Caenorhabditis elegans: one gene and its partners. Each later gene encodes a partner of the first gene's protein in a complex. Each region holds a gene or a part of one and is shown in the gene's direction. Other genes may lie near its edges.

Region 1 (3,082 bases):
AGGCATGACGCAAGTATACTTATAGTCCTGCTAGATCGCAGAATCATGAAAATGACAGCTTTTGCACCAATTCTCGAAATATAATTATAGTTGCAAGAGAATTGTTTGACGTCACTGCACTTTTATTTTGAATTTTTTTTTCGAAAATTGATAATTTGCATTGAAAGCAGGGATGGGCGGCAAAAGATTTTTCCGGCAAATCGGCAAATTGCCGGATTCGAAAATGTCCGGCAAATCGGCAAATTGCCGTATTTGAAAATGCCCGGCAAATCGGCAAATTGTCTTATTTGAAAATGACCGGCAAATCGGCAAATGCCCGGAATCGAAAATGTCCGGCAAATCGGCAAATTCCCGGATTTGAAAATGTCCCGCAAATCGGCAAATTGCCGGATTCAAAAATGTCCGGCAAATCGGCAAATTGCCGATTTTCCGAATTTGCTGAAAAACGGCAATTGCCGAAAATTTTCGGCAAATTGTGGTTTTTCTTGAAAATTCGGCAAATCTGCAAAAATTTCCGGTTTGCCGATTTAAAAATAGATCCCTCTCAACACTTCCGCCAAATGGGTATCCGGCAAACGGCAAATGGTCGCTTTGCCAAAAAATGAAAATTTCCGGCAAATCGGCAAGCTGGCAAATTGCCGGAACCAAACATTTCCGGCAAATCGGCAAACCGACAATTTGCCGCCCACCCCTGATTGAAAGTACACTAAAAATCAAAATTCTAATCAATTAAAAATCTAAAATTTTCTAGTTAATAATTTTTTGATTCTTTCCAAATGAACCGAGATATACGCTGCCAGAGTGGTATAGACCTAAAGTTTTGGGTCGCTGAAAATCACAAGAGATAACGCGCTCCACGGCCAATTTAAAACGCCCCGCCCCTGAACCATGGGTCTCGTTAGGTATTTAGCGGTTTTTTCAAACTTTTTCAACTATTTTCGGGATTTTGGCAATTTTGAAGCATTTTTCGTTGTTTTTAAAGAATTTTCTGCCAAAACATTAACGATGTTTGAAAATTCACGTGAAATTGACCATTTGCTTTTTTTAAAATCAATTTTTACATTATAATTCATTGAAAATAACGGCAAATGCTTGAAAATTAGCGAAATTTACGCAACTAATCAAAAAAATTTGAATTTACGGTTTTGCCGCCGAATACCTAACGAGACCCGCGGGTTCGGGGGCGGAGCGTTTTTGGACAGTTTCTCTCTGCCCCTATAATACAGACTTTTTTTCTAAAATTTCCCTGAAATATTAATTTGGGAGCGTATTACAGCTACTTTACGAATTTGATGAAATATTCATGTTCTGATTTTTGAACCGCTAAAGTTGTCTAGAAACATTTGAATTAACGATGATTACCGGGAATTAAATAGTAAAAACTTTTTAAACTTTAATTTTTAAAACTAAATTAATTGAAGAATTAATTTTAATCAAAATTTTCAACGTGCGTTCGCCCAATTCTGTTTGATTTAGCCCTCTTATTACCAGAAAAGGGCCACGAAAGCGTTCACCAAAATTGTGTGCGCACGCATTACGAAAACGCGCGCCGCACATTGCAAGTGGGCGGAGCGCCGCACCACGAGACTTTTTTAAAGTTTAAACCCTCGTGCCGCTGCCATTGGTTTTTGGGGGAACTTTTTGAGCTTTTAAATACGAATTTTTATTGTAAAGATATGTTTAAACAAATTAGTAATAACTTTTCAACGAAATACTCGCTTTAAATTATCTTTCAACCTAAAAAAAATTCAAAAATTTCCCGAATTTCAGCAAAAATGAATGATCCAGAGCAATATGAGCCTTCTTCGTCGACAGAAAGCGTCCTGATGCCTCCACCCGCACTTCCACAGGTTTTTTATCGATTTAATTGATTAAAATTAACCGATTTAAAGTATTTTCAGCGGCCAGCAGCAGCTCCACAAGTTTACTCCACTCTTGAGCCATCTGTTCAAAATTTAAGGTTTGTTTTTGTTCAGGGTTAATGACATTATGACAAGACAAAAATTATTAACAAATAATTTCAGATCGTCGTTGCACAAGCCTCTCACCGGAAATCAGCAACAATTTGTGCAGAAAACGCTGGAAAATGTTCAGAAAAATCCATCGCAAGACGACACACACGAGTTCATCAATCAGCTCGCCGACTATCCGCCGACGATTCCCGATTCTGTAACATTGCACTTCTTGAAGTCTGCCGGTGTTGATGGATCGGATCCGCGAGTGACTAGAATGATCTCGCTGGCGGCTCAAAAACATGTTTCGGATATTATTCTTGACGCGATGACAAGTGTATGGTTTAGAATTTGCAAAAGAAAATCCAAGTTTTTTTACAAGAACAATTTCAGGCTCGTATGAAAGGTCTCGGACAGACGAAAAAAGGAACGAAAGACACAAAATACACGCTCACAGAGGAACTTCTCGATGAAATTCTCAAAGAATACGGACACCAGAACACTCGTCCACCATATCACACCTAATTTATAATATACCAACATGATACTCCTCAATGGGTTTTATAATGCTTTACATTTATTTTCCTGTTTTATGAATTTATGCCGTTTTCCTATATACCAATTATCCAAGTGGCTCTTTTTTGCCATTTTATGCTTCTCCTTTGTTTTAATTTTCAGTTCTATTTAACCCATTTTTCTCTAGAACACCCCCAACAATGCCAATGCCATTCACACGCGACGATGACTATGACAGTGATCCAGAAGTTCAGGCGGAGAAGGAAATGGCCAAGAAAGATCCAATCGGCTTTGCGATCGACTCGAGCTCGCTGACTTCGATGAAGAAGGCGGCGGCTGCGGCCGCGAAGGATCAGGTCTCCACAACTCCACCAAATCTAGTCATCGGAAGCAATGGAGGCGCCGGCACGATCGCAACCGTCCCCCGTTCCAAGTGTGGGTGCTGGAGCTCAAGCTCAAATGAAAGAAATTCGTGATGAAAAGTTCAAAATTTCGGCCAATTTTGACAACTTTTCCGAGTTGCAAAGCTCGGAAATTGACTTTGTTCGATTTATCATCCTTGTTTGCACATTCTGATAGTTTATCTCACATTATTTCGTTGATTAATGTGCATT
Region 2 (7,683 bases), on another chromosome or scaffold:
GGATCGCCCGCGGCCTCCTCGATCGACGAAACCGGTGCCTCCACCTGAAAAAAACATATCAATATTTGATCTATTTCAATCAAGCACGAACCTCTGCCTCTTGCTACAAATCCTCTGTTGTTATAACTGCCCTCTTCCGGCTTCTTCTTTTCCTTTTTGGCTCCTTTCTGTTCAGTCCACGAGTCAAGTTTATCTCCAGCATCCAGAATGTGATCGATTGCGCCGTAAAGATTGTTGTCAGTATCCAATAGCGCTATCTCAGCTTGTGCTTGTGTACATCCGGTGGTTTCGATAATCTGAAAATGAAAAAGACATGAGCAGTGAAAAAACCCCTCTTGGGAATGCGCGAACACTTTAATTAGCCCAAATGAGTAGGACATCTGGGTACTCTTACTCTCGCTGCACCATCTCAAGCGCGGACACCTGCTTTTGTCCTTTTATTTGCCATCTGGCCCCGTCTTATCGATTCGAAATTCCTATTGACACTGAAAGCGGACACTAGAGAAGTTCAAAACAACAAAGTCACGTGCGTCATCATGTCGGTGTGTGGCGAGCGTTCGCGTGATGCAAAGATCACTATTTTCAGGAAAGCGTCATTTCCAGCTTGGAGACTTACCGTCTTGATCATAAACTGTATGTCCTCCTCATTTCCGGAATTTCCTTCCAGTGTGAGTCGTGCAAGTCGCGCTTGATCGCTGGTAGCTTTTTTGTCGCCTTTAATACCCATTCTGAAAACAAATTATAAATAAAAAGGGTCAGTCATGTGAACGCAAGAATGGAATGAGAATCACGAGAATACAACTATCAAAGGAAGGTTGAATGAAAGGAAGGTCAAATAGATGACAAAAGTAGGAAAAGAACGAAATATGGAACCTTCCAGATCAAAAAAACATTATCAAAAGAAAAGCCTCGCACAGAAGACTCTAACGAACATGTTAGGATGAAGAAATATTTCAGCAATACATCACGTTGAACTTTGGAGGATATTCTAGAGAAGAAAACCCCTACATTTTACAATAATTTTGAAATGGAATTCGAATGAACTGCTATACAATGGAGAATCCTATTTAGCGATGATAAAGTGTAGGCTTGTTACTAGATTGAATAAAAATTTCGAAATGTAACAATACATTGACTGAAAATTTGGGTATTTCAGAGTGTGATATCACAAAAATCAATATTTCCACTAAACTCAAAAGTTCTTACGCTGAAAAATCATTAAAAAATTGAAAAATCACCGCAAGCTAGACTAGAATCGCGTTCAAATCTCGCAAATTCCCGCAGTTGAAAATGCGGGCGACCGCGACGCGAGCCGCAACGCACCCCTCCAAACATGCGGCATGGGTCTCGCCACGACCGAAAGTACGGTCACTCTTGGCAGTATAAAAGGCGACCATTTTCCGCTATTTTCCGGTAAATTTTCAAATGAAACTGTGTTGCGGAGGGGGTTTTCCGCTAATTTTGCGGAAATTTAGCTATTTAATGTGAAAATGTGAATAAAACAAAAGAAAGTGGGGAGGAATAGCAAGGAAACACACTGTTGAACCCTGGGAATTATCGATTTTGTATGAACTCTTCTTTTATGGCGTCGAAATTATCGACACGAAAACTCAAAACCTTGTCACATTTCTGAGAGAGAAATATCATTTTCAGCACACATGAGTCTTCCCAGATTTCGACTCGTTCAGGGAAAGGCGATCGGCGAGCGATCAACGCCAGGAGTCAGCACACCAGAGCCGGTAATTGTTTTTTTTTATTTCAAAATTTCTACAACAACAAAAAGAACTAACAATAATTTATTCCTTTGATTCCAGGCCCCTCCGCAAATAAAGCAGGAAGTCGACTACCAAGATGCTCATCAAATGGCTCCGGAACCCGTGGAAGCACCCCGTAAATATTTAAAAATTTAAAAAAGTTAGAAAAAAAATTTGAATCCCAATTTTCAGAGGCTCAAAACCATCAAATGCAGCCGCCTCGTCAACCTATACAACAGCAGATGCAGCATTTTCAGTCACCATCGCCAATGGCTCCACAAGGGCCGCCCGGGACTCCACAAAACTCTGCAGCGGCGGCCGCCGCTGCTTCAGATGACAAAAACGTGACAAAATGCGTCCGCTTTCTGAAAACTTTAATTAATCTGTCGAATAACGATGATCCAGAAATGCCGGACAAGGCCGCCCGTGTCAAAGAGCTAATTCGAGTGAGGAATTGAGCGAAAAACGCGATAAAAACCGGACAAATTCGGATATTTCAGGGCGTAATTTATCTGGAAACGACGGCTGAAGAGTTTACACGAAATCTGCAACAAGTGCTCAAATCTCAGGCTCAACCGCATCTTTTACCATTCCTTCAGAATACTCTTCCGGCATTGAGGAATGCTGTTCGAAATGGTTCGGTTTTATGTGCAAAAAAATTAAAATCGACAAAAAAAAAATCATCGAAAAACAGGAAAATTTGAGTTGAAAAGCAGCGAAAAACTTGAATTTAACATAAAAAATTGCAAAAAATCCGTTGAATTACATTTTTCAAGAAATTGTGTAGAAATTCCATGAAAAAAATTCAAAATTTCCAAATTTTTTGGCTATTTCTAGTCAATTTCTTTAAAATTCCATTTTTGATAGCGAAAATTATCAAGTTTCTAACAATTTCAAGCTGTTTTTGGTGATTTTTTCAATTTTTCGGCTTTGAAATTCCATTTTCCGGAGTATATTGTCATAATATATCCGAGTTCCACAAAATTGAGCAAAAAAAATTAAAAATTTCCCTTTATTTAAAAATATTTTCAGCTGTCAGTAATATATGGATTTTCCGCAATTTTTCTCACAATTTTGAGCAAATTCCTGATTTTCAGCCAATTTATAAGGATTTTCACCCATTTTCATAATTTAGGGCTATTTTCAGCTGAAAAATTGTAATTTAAAGTTTTTAAAATTTTTATAGATTTTCTCAAATTTCAGCTCAAAAATTCGATTTTCAAGCGCATTTCCAGGCAATTTATTAAGATTTTCACCAATTTTTTTAGCTTAAAATTTAAAATTTCCACATTTTTTGTCTATTTCCAGTAAATTTCTTTAAAATTCTATTTTTGAAAGCAAAAATTATCAAGTTTATCGCACTTTTTCAATTTTTCCGGAGTATATTTTGGTAATTTATCCGAGTTCCACGAAATTGAGCAAAACAATTATTTAAAAACTTCCCTTTATTTAGAGCTATTTCCGCAAATTTTCTCGCAATTTTCACGCAATTTTCATAATTCAGGGCTATTTTCAGCTGAAAAATTGCAATTTAAAGTTTTTAAAATGTTTATAGATTTTCTCAACATTCAGCTCAAAAATTCGATTTTGAGGCGCATTTCCAGGCAATTTATGAGGATTTTTACCTATTTTCTAGATTAAAAATCTTTTTTTTTCCTCAATTTTGGACTATTTTCCCTAATTTTCAAATTTCCAGGCACTGCATCAGTTGAAGGCGTAAATCCACCGCCTGGCTACGTTTTCAACAATGGAAGAACCCCAGGACCCCCTCAGCCACCTCCACCTCAACAACAATCCCAGCAGCAGCCACCACTAGAAATGCGTCAAATTCCGAATCCGAATCAAATACCCCCACAAATGGTTCAAGGGGGTCCCCATATGGTATCTGTAGGCGCCCGGCCAATGATCAGGCCTATGGGCCCCGGCGGCCCAAGCCCAATGGGCCTACAAGGCCCCGTACGAGGGCCGATGGGACATCAGATGGTCCAGATGCATCCTCCTCCCCCACCACAGCAGATTCAACAGCAGCACCCGGCTCCCCCTGTAGAAATGGAGGTGGAAGAGAATTTACAGCCTACCGCGGCGGCCACGGCCACGAGGCAATATCCTGAAGGATCGCTGAAATCGTCGATTCTGAAGCCGGATGAGGTGCTGAATAGGATCACGAAACGAATGATGTCATCGTGTTCGGTGGAAGAGGAGGCGCTTGTCGCGATTTCAGATGCTGTTGAGTCGCATTTAAGGGAACTTATTACACTGATGGCCGGAGTTGCAGAACATCGGGTGGAGAGTTTGAGGTATTGAGGAGAATTGATTTTGCTTCAAAATACGGCAGCGAAAAAAAAATTAAGCAAAAATAAGGAAATTATTGAAGAAAAATCGTCTTAAAAACAATTTTACATTAAAAAAAAAGATTTTTAAATTTCAAAGGTTCCGAACTATTTATTAAAAAAACATCTAGATTTTGTTTTAAAATCCAAACAAAAAACATTGCTGAAACGCGGTAATTTTTTTTCAAAAAAATATAAAAATCTGAGAAATATTTTCAAAAATATCTCCAATTTTCCCCTGATTCCGAATATCTATTCGAAAAAATTCAAAAAAAAAATTTCCCTTTATATTTCAGCTTGAAATCGCTTTGTGCATGCACACCATGAGATTTTTCAAATGCGCGCCCAGATAAATTCTCATTGGGGCGCACTTGCTTCGTGTCGATTTACGGGAGCTCTTCATTTTTAAATTTCTTTTAAGCTTTTTTTTTCAGTTTTTCAACGAGTTTCCTTGATCTTCGTCGATTTTTTGTCATTTTTTTTCCTGAAATTTTGTTTTGTGTCAATTTGAAAATTTTTTAGGTCAAAACTCCTGTGTTCGTCGAGATCTGACGTAAAAATATAAAATTCCGGGAGTTTTGAGATATAAAAAAAATATTTTAAAAATTTCAGAAAAAAAACTGACAAAAAAGCGACAAAATAAAAGAAACGCGCAAAAAAAAAAAAAAAAAACTTAAAAAAGCACGAATAAATTTTTTTAAAAAATGGAGAGCTGCCGTAAATCGACACGAAGCAAGCATAAAAAAATGGCTTTTTTCCTAACAATTTTTTGTGAAAAATCCGAATTTTCCATCCTAAACACTACAAAAGATTCCAGAATTCCGGAGAACTACGTGGCAATTGATGACGTCAAACGGCAACTTCGATTCCTTGAAGATTTGGATCGTCAAGAGGAAGAATTAAGGGAAAGTCGAGAAAAAGAGTCGCTAATTCGAATGAGCAAGAATAAGAATAGTGGAAAAGAGACGATTGAAAAAGCGAAAGAAATGCAACGACAAGATGCTGAAGCGAAAAGGAATCGAGATGCGAATGCGGCTGCAATTGCAGCACTTTCCAGTAATAAAACTGTCAAGAATAAGTTCGTTTTTAGCGTGAAATTTGCAGAAAAATTATTTTTAAAAAATAGATTTAAAAAAAACAATTTCCTGACCAAGGGTGTCATTTTTCGATTTTTCGGTTTTCAAAAATTCGAAAAATGAAAGTTTCGTTTTTCGATTAAAAAACTGAAAAACCGACACCTTTGTTTCTGAGATTTGGATTTAGAAATAAGCAAAAAAAAATTATTCAGAAAAAATTGTTTTACAATGCTGCAAAATCGATGAAAAAATAAAATAAATCAATAACTAATTTCTAAAAAATGGAAAAAAATTTCGTTTTTTTCGAATTTGTATTTCACAAAAAAAAATTTTTAGAATAAAAATTTTCAATTAAAAAATTACTATTTAAAATCACTGAAAAAAAATGAAAAAAATAGAAAATTCAGAAAAATAGCGAAAAAAAAGTTTTTTTCCAGAAATTTCGTTAAAACGATCAAGATTTTAACCCTAAAATTTAGATAAAATCAATTTCTTGTGGTTCTTAATTTAAAAAAAAAAACAGTACTTTCCAGTAATAAAACTTTCAAGAATAAATTCGTTTTTAGTGCGAAATTCGCAAAAAAAATTACGAAAAAGTGAAAATAGAAGCTGAAAGGAAAAATGTTTAAAAAATAAGAATATTTTCGACATTAATTGGTTTTTATATATATTTTTTTGTAGAAGTTTAAAAAAATTACTAAAATCACTGAAAAAATTGAAAAAAATTTTAAAATCTGGAAAAAAAGCAACAAAAAATTAATTTTTCCAGAAATTTCGTTGAACTATTCGGTATTTTAAGCCTAAAATCAAGATACAATCAATTTGAACAAAATTTGCTTTAAAAATACTAAAAATTCGAAAGAAATAGAAAAAAAAAGAAATTTTCGAAATTTGGATTTATTGTTAGAGAAAAGCTGAACACTTACAAAAAATTAATTTTTTACGTTTTGAGAAAAATTTTTGAAAAAAAAAATCGATTTTTAAATAATTTTTAGAATTTTTTAGAACTATAATTTTTGAATTTCAGTGACTTATAATCACAGAAAAAAATGAACGAAAAACAAATGAACATCTTTTCGGCAAAAAAACGTATTTTAAAAAAAAATTTAAATTTCTAGTGACTTTGAAAAAAAAACCACATTTTCCAATAATTTCCAGGAATAAACTAAATTTCTTTGGAGAAATTTGAAATTTATTTCACATTTCGAAAAAATTTATATAGAAATAAAAATTTATATGAAAATAAAAAATTTGCAGCTCCTTCCAGTAATGAAACTGTCATTTGTTGAAAATTAGTTTTTTTTTAATTTAGAAATTCTCTTTTCGAAAAAAAAGGTTTTTTTAAAACTTGATTAAAAATTAATTCATTTTTTTCCAAAATTAGGGAAAAAATAATTTCTAAAAAATTAGACAAATACACTTTTTTGTTGAAAAAAACAACATTTTCCAATAATTTTCTTTTTTTTTAAATTGCTTCCACTAAATTCACTTTTTGAAGAAATTTTTTGAAATTTTTACTGAAAATTGTTGGAAAATTATTAAATGTGCATTTTTTTGCAATTTCCAGTTGATAAACTAATTTCGGTTCAATTTAAAATAAATTTCGAAAACCAATTTCAAAAAATTCATTTTTTACAATTTGTTTTTGTTGATAAAACGAGCTAGTTTCTACCAAAATACCGCTTTTTTACATTGAAAATTTAAATTTCAGATGGGAAAACACGGGCGCCGCAACGACAGCACCTCGTCCACGAACAGTACGTGTAACAACTCGTGATCTACATCTTTTAGTCAATCAGGATAGCCGATTCACAGGGTAGCGATTTTTTTTGTTTAAAAAATTTTTTTAAAAAACACCGTATTAAACATTGATTTTTATTGGAAAAAACTGATTTAAAAATTTTTCAAAAAACTTTCAAACGAATGGTAGTTTTTAATATTTTAATTTTAAAAAATTCCAATAAAAATCAATTTTTATACGATTTAAAAAAATTTTGAAAAGTTATCCAATTTTCTCCTAAAAAAACTCATTTTTTTTCCAGAACATTCATCCGTGAAAAGATGTCATACGGTGGTCCGGCAGTCGATACAACTATCTGAACTAAAGAAATCTCATGGAAAAAGGAGCGAAAATTCTGCTTTTCTCGTTTTCTTTTTTTAAATTTAATTTTATTTTTCCACAAATTAAAACAATCACTTTTTTCCAGTCAAATAATAATTATTTCTCATTTTTAAACGAAATGCTAGACATAAAAAAAAGCTTCTTTTTCAGCTTTTCAGCCAAAAATTTCAGATTTTTCAGAAAAAATTCAACAACAAAAAATTGGCAAAGTGCAAAAAAACCAGAATTAGATATTAAAAATACAGGAAAAATCGAGAAAAATGAGTTACAATTCAGAAAATTAGGCAATTTTTTTTTCAAAATTTCTCAAAAACACTGAAATTTCGGTATTTTTTTCTCTACTTGAGCACAACCTCGTGTTGCACCAATCGAACATAGTCTTTGAGCGTCGGTGGAAGTGG
Region 3 (4,637 bases), on another chromosome or scaffold:
CATAATTTTGTCATTTTTTTCCCATAATTTGAAATGAATTTCTCACTTTCCTATTTTCGCTATTCTTTTCCGGTTTTTTCGGGGGGAAATCCTCGAAAAAGTGTAATTTTGCACTTGAATATTTTTTTTTTTAATAGTTTTTCTATTTTTTAGCTGAAAATTCAATTTTTAAACGTTTTTTCACATAAACCAACGTTTAACAGAAATTTTGTTTTAAAAATCGGTAAAAACCGAATAAAAAGTGAAAATTCGAAGAAAAATTTAGAAAAAAACAATTTTTATTCAAAAACTCTAATTTTGCTGTAAAAATTTGGAAAAAACTTATTTTCATCACATTTTTAGTCGCTAAATTCAATTTTCAGTCGAAAAATTGAATTTTCAAGCGAAATTTTGAATTTTCAGTCAGAAATTCTGCTAAAAATTGCAAATTTCATGAATTTTTCTTCAAAAATTTCATTTTTTAATGCCAAAATCCAATAAATTCCACAAAATCATAATTAAAATTCGAGTTTCAATTCCAAAAATTCTGAATTTTCCACAAAAAAAAGATTTTTTCCGCACTTGGTTGCTCACACTACAAACTACACAATTTTCTAGCCTCACTCAACTTTTGGTGAGGCTTAAAAAGTTGTAGTTTGTAGTGTCGGCCTCAACCAAATGCATTTTTCGAGCAATTTTAAGCCGAAAAGTCAGAAAAAACTCAACTTTTTGCCGAAAAACTTTGAAAAAATTAGATTTTCATAACATTTTTAGTCGAAAAATGAATTTTCCCGGTGAAAAATTAAATTTTTCAGCGAAATGATTGTAAATTTCATTTTTTTTCTTGAAAAGTCTAATTTTTATGCGAAAATCAATCAAATTTGAAGAAATAATAATTAAAATTCGAGTTTCATTCAAAAAACTGAGAACTTTCCCCAAAAAATTAGTTTTTCCGGAGTTGGTTGAGGCTCACACTACAAAAACTACAACATTTTCTAGCCTCGCCCAACCTTTGGTGAGGCTGAAAAAGTTGTAGTTTTTGTAGTGTGAGCCTCAACCAAATCCATTTTTCACTCAAAATCGAGCAATTTTGAGCAGAAAATCCATTTTTTCCGTGAAAAAATTTAAAAATTCGTGAATCATCAGGTTTTTAGAATTATTTTTAAAGTTATTATCGTAATTTTTTCCAATTTTCTACAAGTTTTTAGTCTCACCAAAAGTTGGTTGAGGCTAGAAAATGTTGTAGTTTGTAGTCTGTGCATTTTTTGGTGTTTTCTTCTTAATTTGCACAATTTTGATTCATTGTTTATTCGGAAAAATGGAAATTTTATCGATTTTCAAATTCAAATTAAATAAAAATTCAATTTTGAGACTAAATTAATGGTTTTTTTTTCGAATTTTTCAAAATTTCCGTTTTCTTTTTTTTCTCTGAAAATTTTCTAAAGAATATCAATAGACAGAACTCATGAATTTTCAAAATTCAAAATCTCTAAAACTCAAAATCGAGCAACTTTGAGCAGAAAATTCAGAAAATATTCAATTTTTTCGTGAAAATTTCTTGAAAAATTCGTGAATCTCCAGGTTTTTAAAATATTTTTCAAAATTTTTTATTGTAATTTTTTCCAGTAATGAACAATACACATCATCACACAAATGGGTATCGAACGGAAAAGCCAAAAAATGAAGAAGATCTAGAGGATCCTTACGCTAATCTCTCGGATTTCTACAAAAATCATCCGGCAGCACGGAATGAAGGTAGCGAAAATCGAAAAAAAAAACTTTGGAATTTCACTAATTTTTCATTTTTTTCATTTTTTCAGCATGTTCGTCAGCTTCTAATGGCGGCTCTAAAAGTGTGAAAATGGAGCCAAAAGTGGAAAAAAATGAAGAATTTGAAGAATATATTGGTGATCCTGTACGATTAGAAGATATGGAACCATTTGCAAGACCATCACTTCGAGATGATGCACCACTTTCATCTATTTTACATCCGGATCTTGATGGAATTGATCCGAGGTACTGAAAACCACAAATTTCTGTTGAAATTGACGTTTTTTACCGGAAATTTCCACGAAAAACTCAAAAATTCTATCAAAAATCACTGAAAATTGGGAAATTTGACAAAAAATTTCATTTCCTGCCGAATCCTGTAATGTGTAGTATGAGATGTGTGTGGTATAAAAATTGACAAATTTTAATTTAATAACATTAAAAAAAATTTCATTTTTCTCTAAAAACTTTATTTTTTTTTCCATTTTTACAAACTTTTTTATAAAATCACCCGAAAATTCGAATTTTCTTCGGAAAATCTATTTTAAAAACTCTGAAAATTGCTCGAAAATGACATTTTTTGAATAAAGTATTCCAAAAATGCTCAAAACGTGCTGTTTCTTCCAAAATTCCATAATTTTCTTTTAAAATTCCGCAAAATTTGCTTGCCCTTGAAATTGAAAACTGAAATTTTTTGAATTTCCCGCCAAAAGTCGATTTGGAAAGAGTTTTTGCTGGAAAAATCAAAAATTTCGACAAAAAATCGTAAAATGGGATTTTTTTTTCAAAATTTTTCGAAAAAAAATCGAGTAAAAGTGACGATTTTTTTTTCAATTTTTGTTGAATAAATCGAATATTCAGTAAAATTTTCATTTTTTTTTCTCGAAAAATTGATAGAAATTCTAATTTCGTTGGAAAAAACAAATTTTCACTTTTTTTAAGCATGAAAAGCGCCATTATTTCAAAAAATTGGCAAACATTTGCCGAAATTCGAATTTCGCGCAAAAATCGAATAAAAGTGACGATTTTTGTTGGAAAAATCGAATTTTCACTGAAATGTTGGGTTTTGTTTTATTCGAAAATTGAAAATTGAAATTCGAATTTTGCTCCAAAAGTCAGTTTTCCAATGAAGTTTCATAAAAACACACAAATACACAATTTTTAAGTCAAAAAACCCGAAAATTGGCAATTTCTGCAAAAATTCCTTTAAAAAACTCAAAAATTCACTCAAAAATCGTTGAAACCCGTGTCACTTTTCCCCGAAAAAACCCACAATTTTTCCACACAAACCCATGGTTTTCCTAGCCATCAGAAATCTCATGTAAAACTCGAAAATTTGCTTTAAAATTGTTAAACCTTTTTTTCGAGCCAAAAAAGCCAAAAAAAGCCTGAAAATTGGCCAATTTCTGCAAAAATTCCAAAAAAAATGGTTGAAACCCGTCATTTTTCCCCTGAAAACTGGTTTTTCTCGCCGAAAAACTCGAAATTTTGATGTAAAATTGCTAAAAACTGCTAATTTCTTCTAGAATTCCATAATTCTCTGTTAAAATTTCCAAAAAAATTCCGAAAATTCGCCAAAAATTCACGCAAATCACTGAAAACCCCCATTTTTCCGCAAAATCCTTTAATTTTATTTTCAGAATCTTCTTCAAAGACTTCAATCCAAACAAAACTCTTCGTTTCTCTCGACTTTTTGCTCAAAATATCAAACATACGTCCCGTGCCGAGATCTGGTGGGCTTCCCGAACCTTCTCCAAACATCAACGCAAAAAAGAGCCCGAAGAGCCCCTCGCTGATGACGTCATCGTTGGAGCCAAAAAGCTGAAGCTTAACATCATTGAGAAGGTGCCACGTGTCATGTTGGCTGACGATGAAGAAGAACGAATGCGGAGACCGATACTGACGGATGCAGAGGAAATGGCAAAGAAAAATGAAGAGGGTACGGTAGTTCAGCCGTGGAGAACGGGTCCCGCCAAGATTTGGTATGATATGATGAATTTGCCGATGACTAGTCAAGCTGTTAATTATGGATTCAAACTGAAGGTAAAAATAATGAAAATTTGCAGAAAATCGGCTGAAAATTGCTCAAAAAAATGGAATTTCCTTTGAAAAACTGACTTAAAAATGGCTGAAATTGGCTAAAAATGATCAAAATTAAAGTTTCCTGGTAAAAAATACACTGAAAATGGCTGAAAAATGGCTGAAATTCGCCAAAAATTGAAGTTTTCAATAAAAAAAACCCTAAAAATCGCACTAAAAATCTGAAAAAATTACCAAAAAAGCGCAAATTTGACACAGTTTGCTCAAAAAAATTTGGTTGAAGCTAGAAAATTTCGTAGTTTGTAGTATGAGCCTCAACCAAAATTGAGAATTTTAAATTGGTTGAGGCTAAAAAGTTGTAGTTTGTAGTATGAGCCTCAACCAAAATTGAGAATTTTAAATTGGTTGAGGCTAAAAAGTTGTAGTTTGTAGTGTGAGCCTCAACCAAAATTGAGAACTTTAAATTGGTTGAGGCTAGAAAATGTTGTAGTTTGTAGTGTGAGCCTCACCCAAAATTGGTTGAGGCTAGAAAATGTTGTAGTTTGTAGTGTGAGCCTCACCTTAAATTGGTTGAGGCTAAAAAAGTTGTAGTTTGTAGTGTGAGCCTCAACCAAAATTGGTTGAGGCTAGAAAATGTTGTAGTTTGTAGTGTGAGCCTCACTCAACAATATATTTTTAGTTGAAAAACGTGATTTTCAGTCAATTTTTGATAATTTTTAACTAAAAATTCCTGAAAAATATAATTTCCAGCTCAATTCCGACAATTTTCCGGTTATTTTCACGGCTTAAACAGCATTTCATGAGTTTTCAGACAATTTTCGGTCATCTTAGACAATTTCATCTCATTT

What was found. Proteins that work in one complex are often made in the same cells at the same time.
Region 2: taf-10 (region 1) and taf-4 share a complex: the UniProt entries of both Caenorhabditis elegans proteins name them as parts of the TFIID basal transcription factor complex.
Region 3: taf-10 (region 1) and taf-1 share a complex: the UniProt entries of both Caenorhabditis elegans proteins name them as parts of the TFIID basal transcription factor complex.

What each region holds. Positions count from the first base shown.
Region 1 is NC_003283.11:4,685,339-4,688,420, forward strand, and holds taf-10 (Transcription initiation factor TFIID subunit 10), read left to right. Parts: upstream 1-1,764; 5' UTR 1,765-1,775; coding exon 1,776-1,850; intron 1,851-1,892; coding exon 1,893-1,960; intron 1,961-2,024; coding exon 2,025-2,289; intron 2,290-2,345; coding exon 2,346-2,477; 3' UTR 2,478-2,561; downstream 2,562-3,082. Other genes in the region: K03B4.2 (HUN domain-containing protein), read left to right, coding at 2,669-2,903. UniProt on the Caenorhabditis elegans protein: The TFIID basal transcription factor complex plays a major role in the initiation of RNA polymerase II (Pol II)-dependent transcription.
Region 2 is NC_003279.8:381,175-388,857, forward strand, and holds taf-4 (Transcription initiation factor TFIID subunit 4), read left to right. Parts: upstream 1-1,651; 5' UTR 1,652-1,658; coding exon 1,659-1,739; intron 1,740-1,814; coding exon 1,815-1,890; intron 1,891-1,946; coding exon 1,947-2,200; intron 2,201-2,254; coding exon 2,255-2,390; intron 2,391-3,450; coding exon 3,451-4,051; intron 4,052-4,901; coding exon 4,902-5,162; intron 5,163-6,871; coding exon 6,872-6,976; intron 6,977-7,202; coding exon 7,203-7,260; 3' UTR 7,261-7,390; downstream 7,391-7,683. Other genes in the region: Prion-like (glutamine/asparagine-rich) domain bearing protein pqn-59, read right to left, coding at 1-44, 92-296, 617-727; R119.5 (Protein-L-isoaspartate O-methyltransferase domain-containing protein 1), read right to left, coding at 7,621-7,683. UniProt on the Caenorhabditis elegans protein: The TFIID basal transcription factor complex plays a major role in the initiation of RNA polymerase II (Pol II)-dependent transcription.
Region 3 is NC_003279.8:13,859,869-13,864,505, forward strand, and holds the start of taf-1 (Transcription initiation factor TFIID subunit 1), read left to right. Parts: upstream 1-1,605; 5' UTR 1,606-1,607; coding exon 1,608-1,734; intron 1,735-1,799; coding exon 1,800-1,995; intron 1,996-3,389; coding exon 3,390-3,792; intron 3,793-4,637. UniProt on the Caenorhabditis elegans protein: The TFIID basal transcription factor complex plays a major role in the initiation of RNA polymerase II (Pol II)-dependent transcription.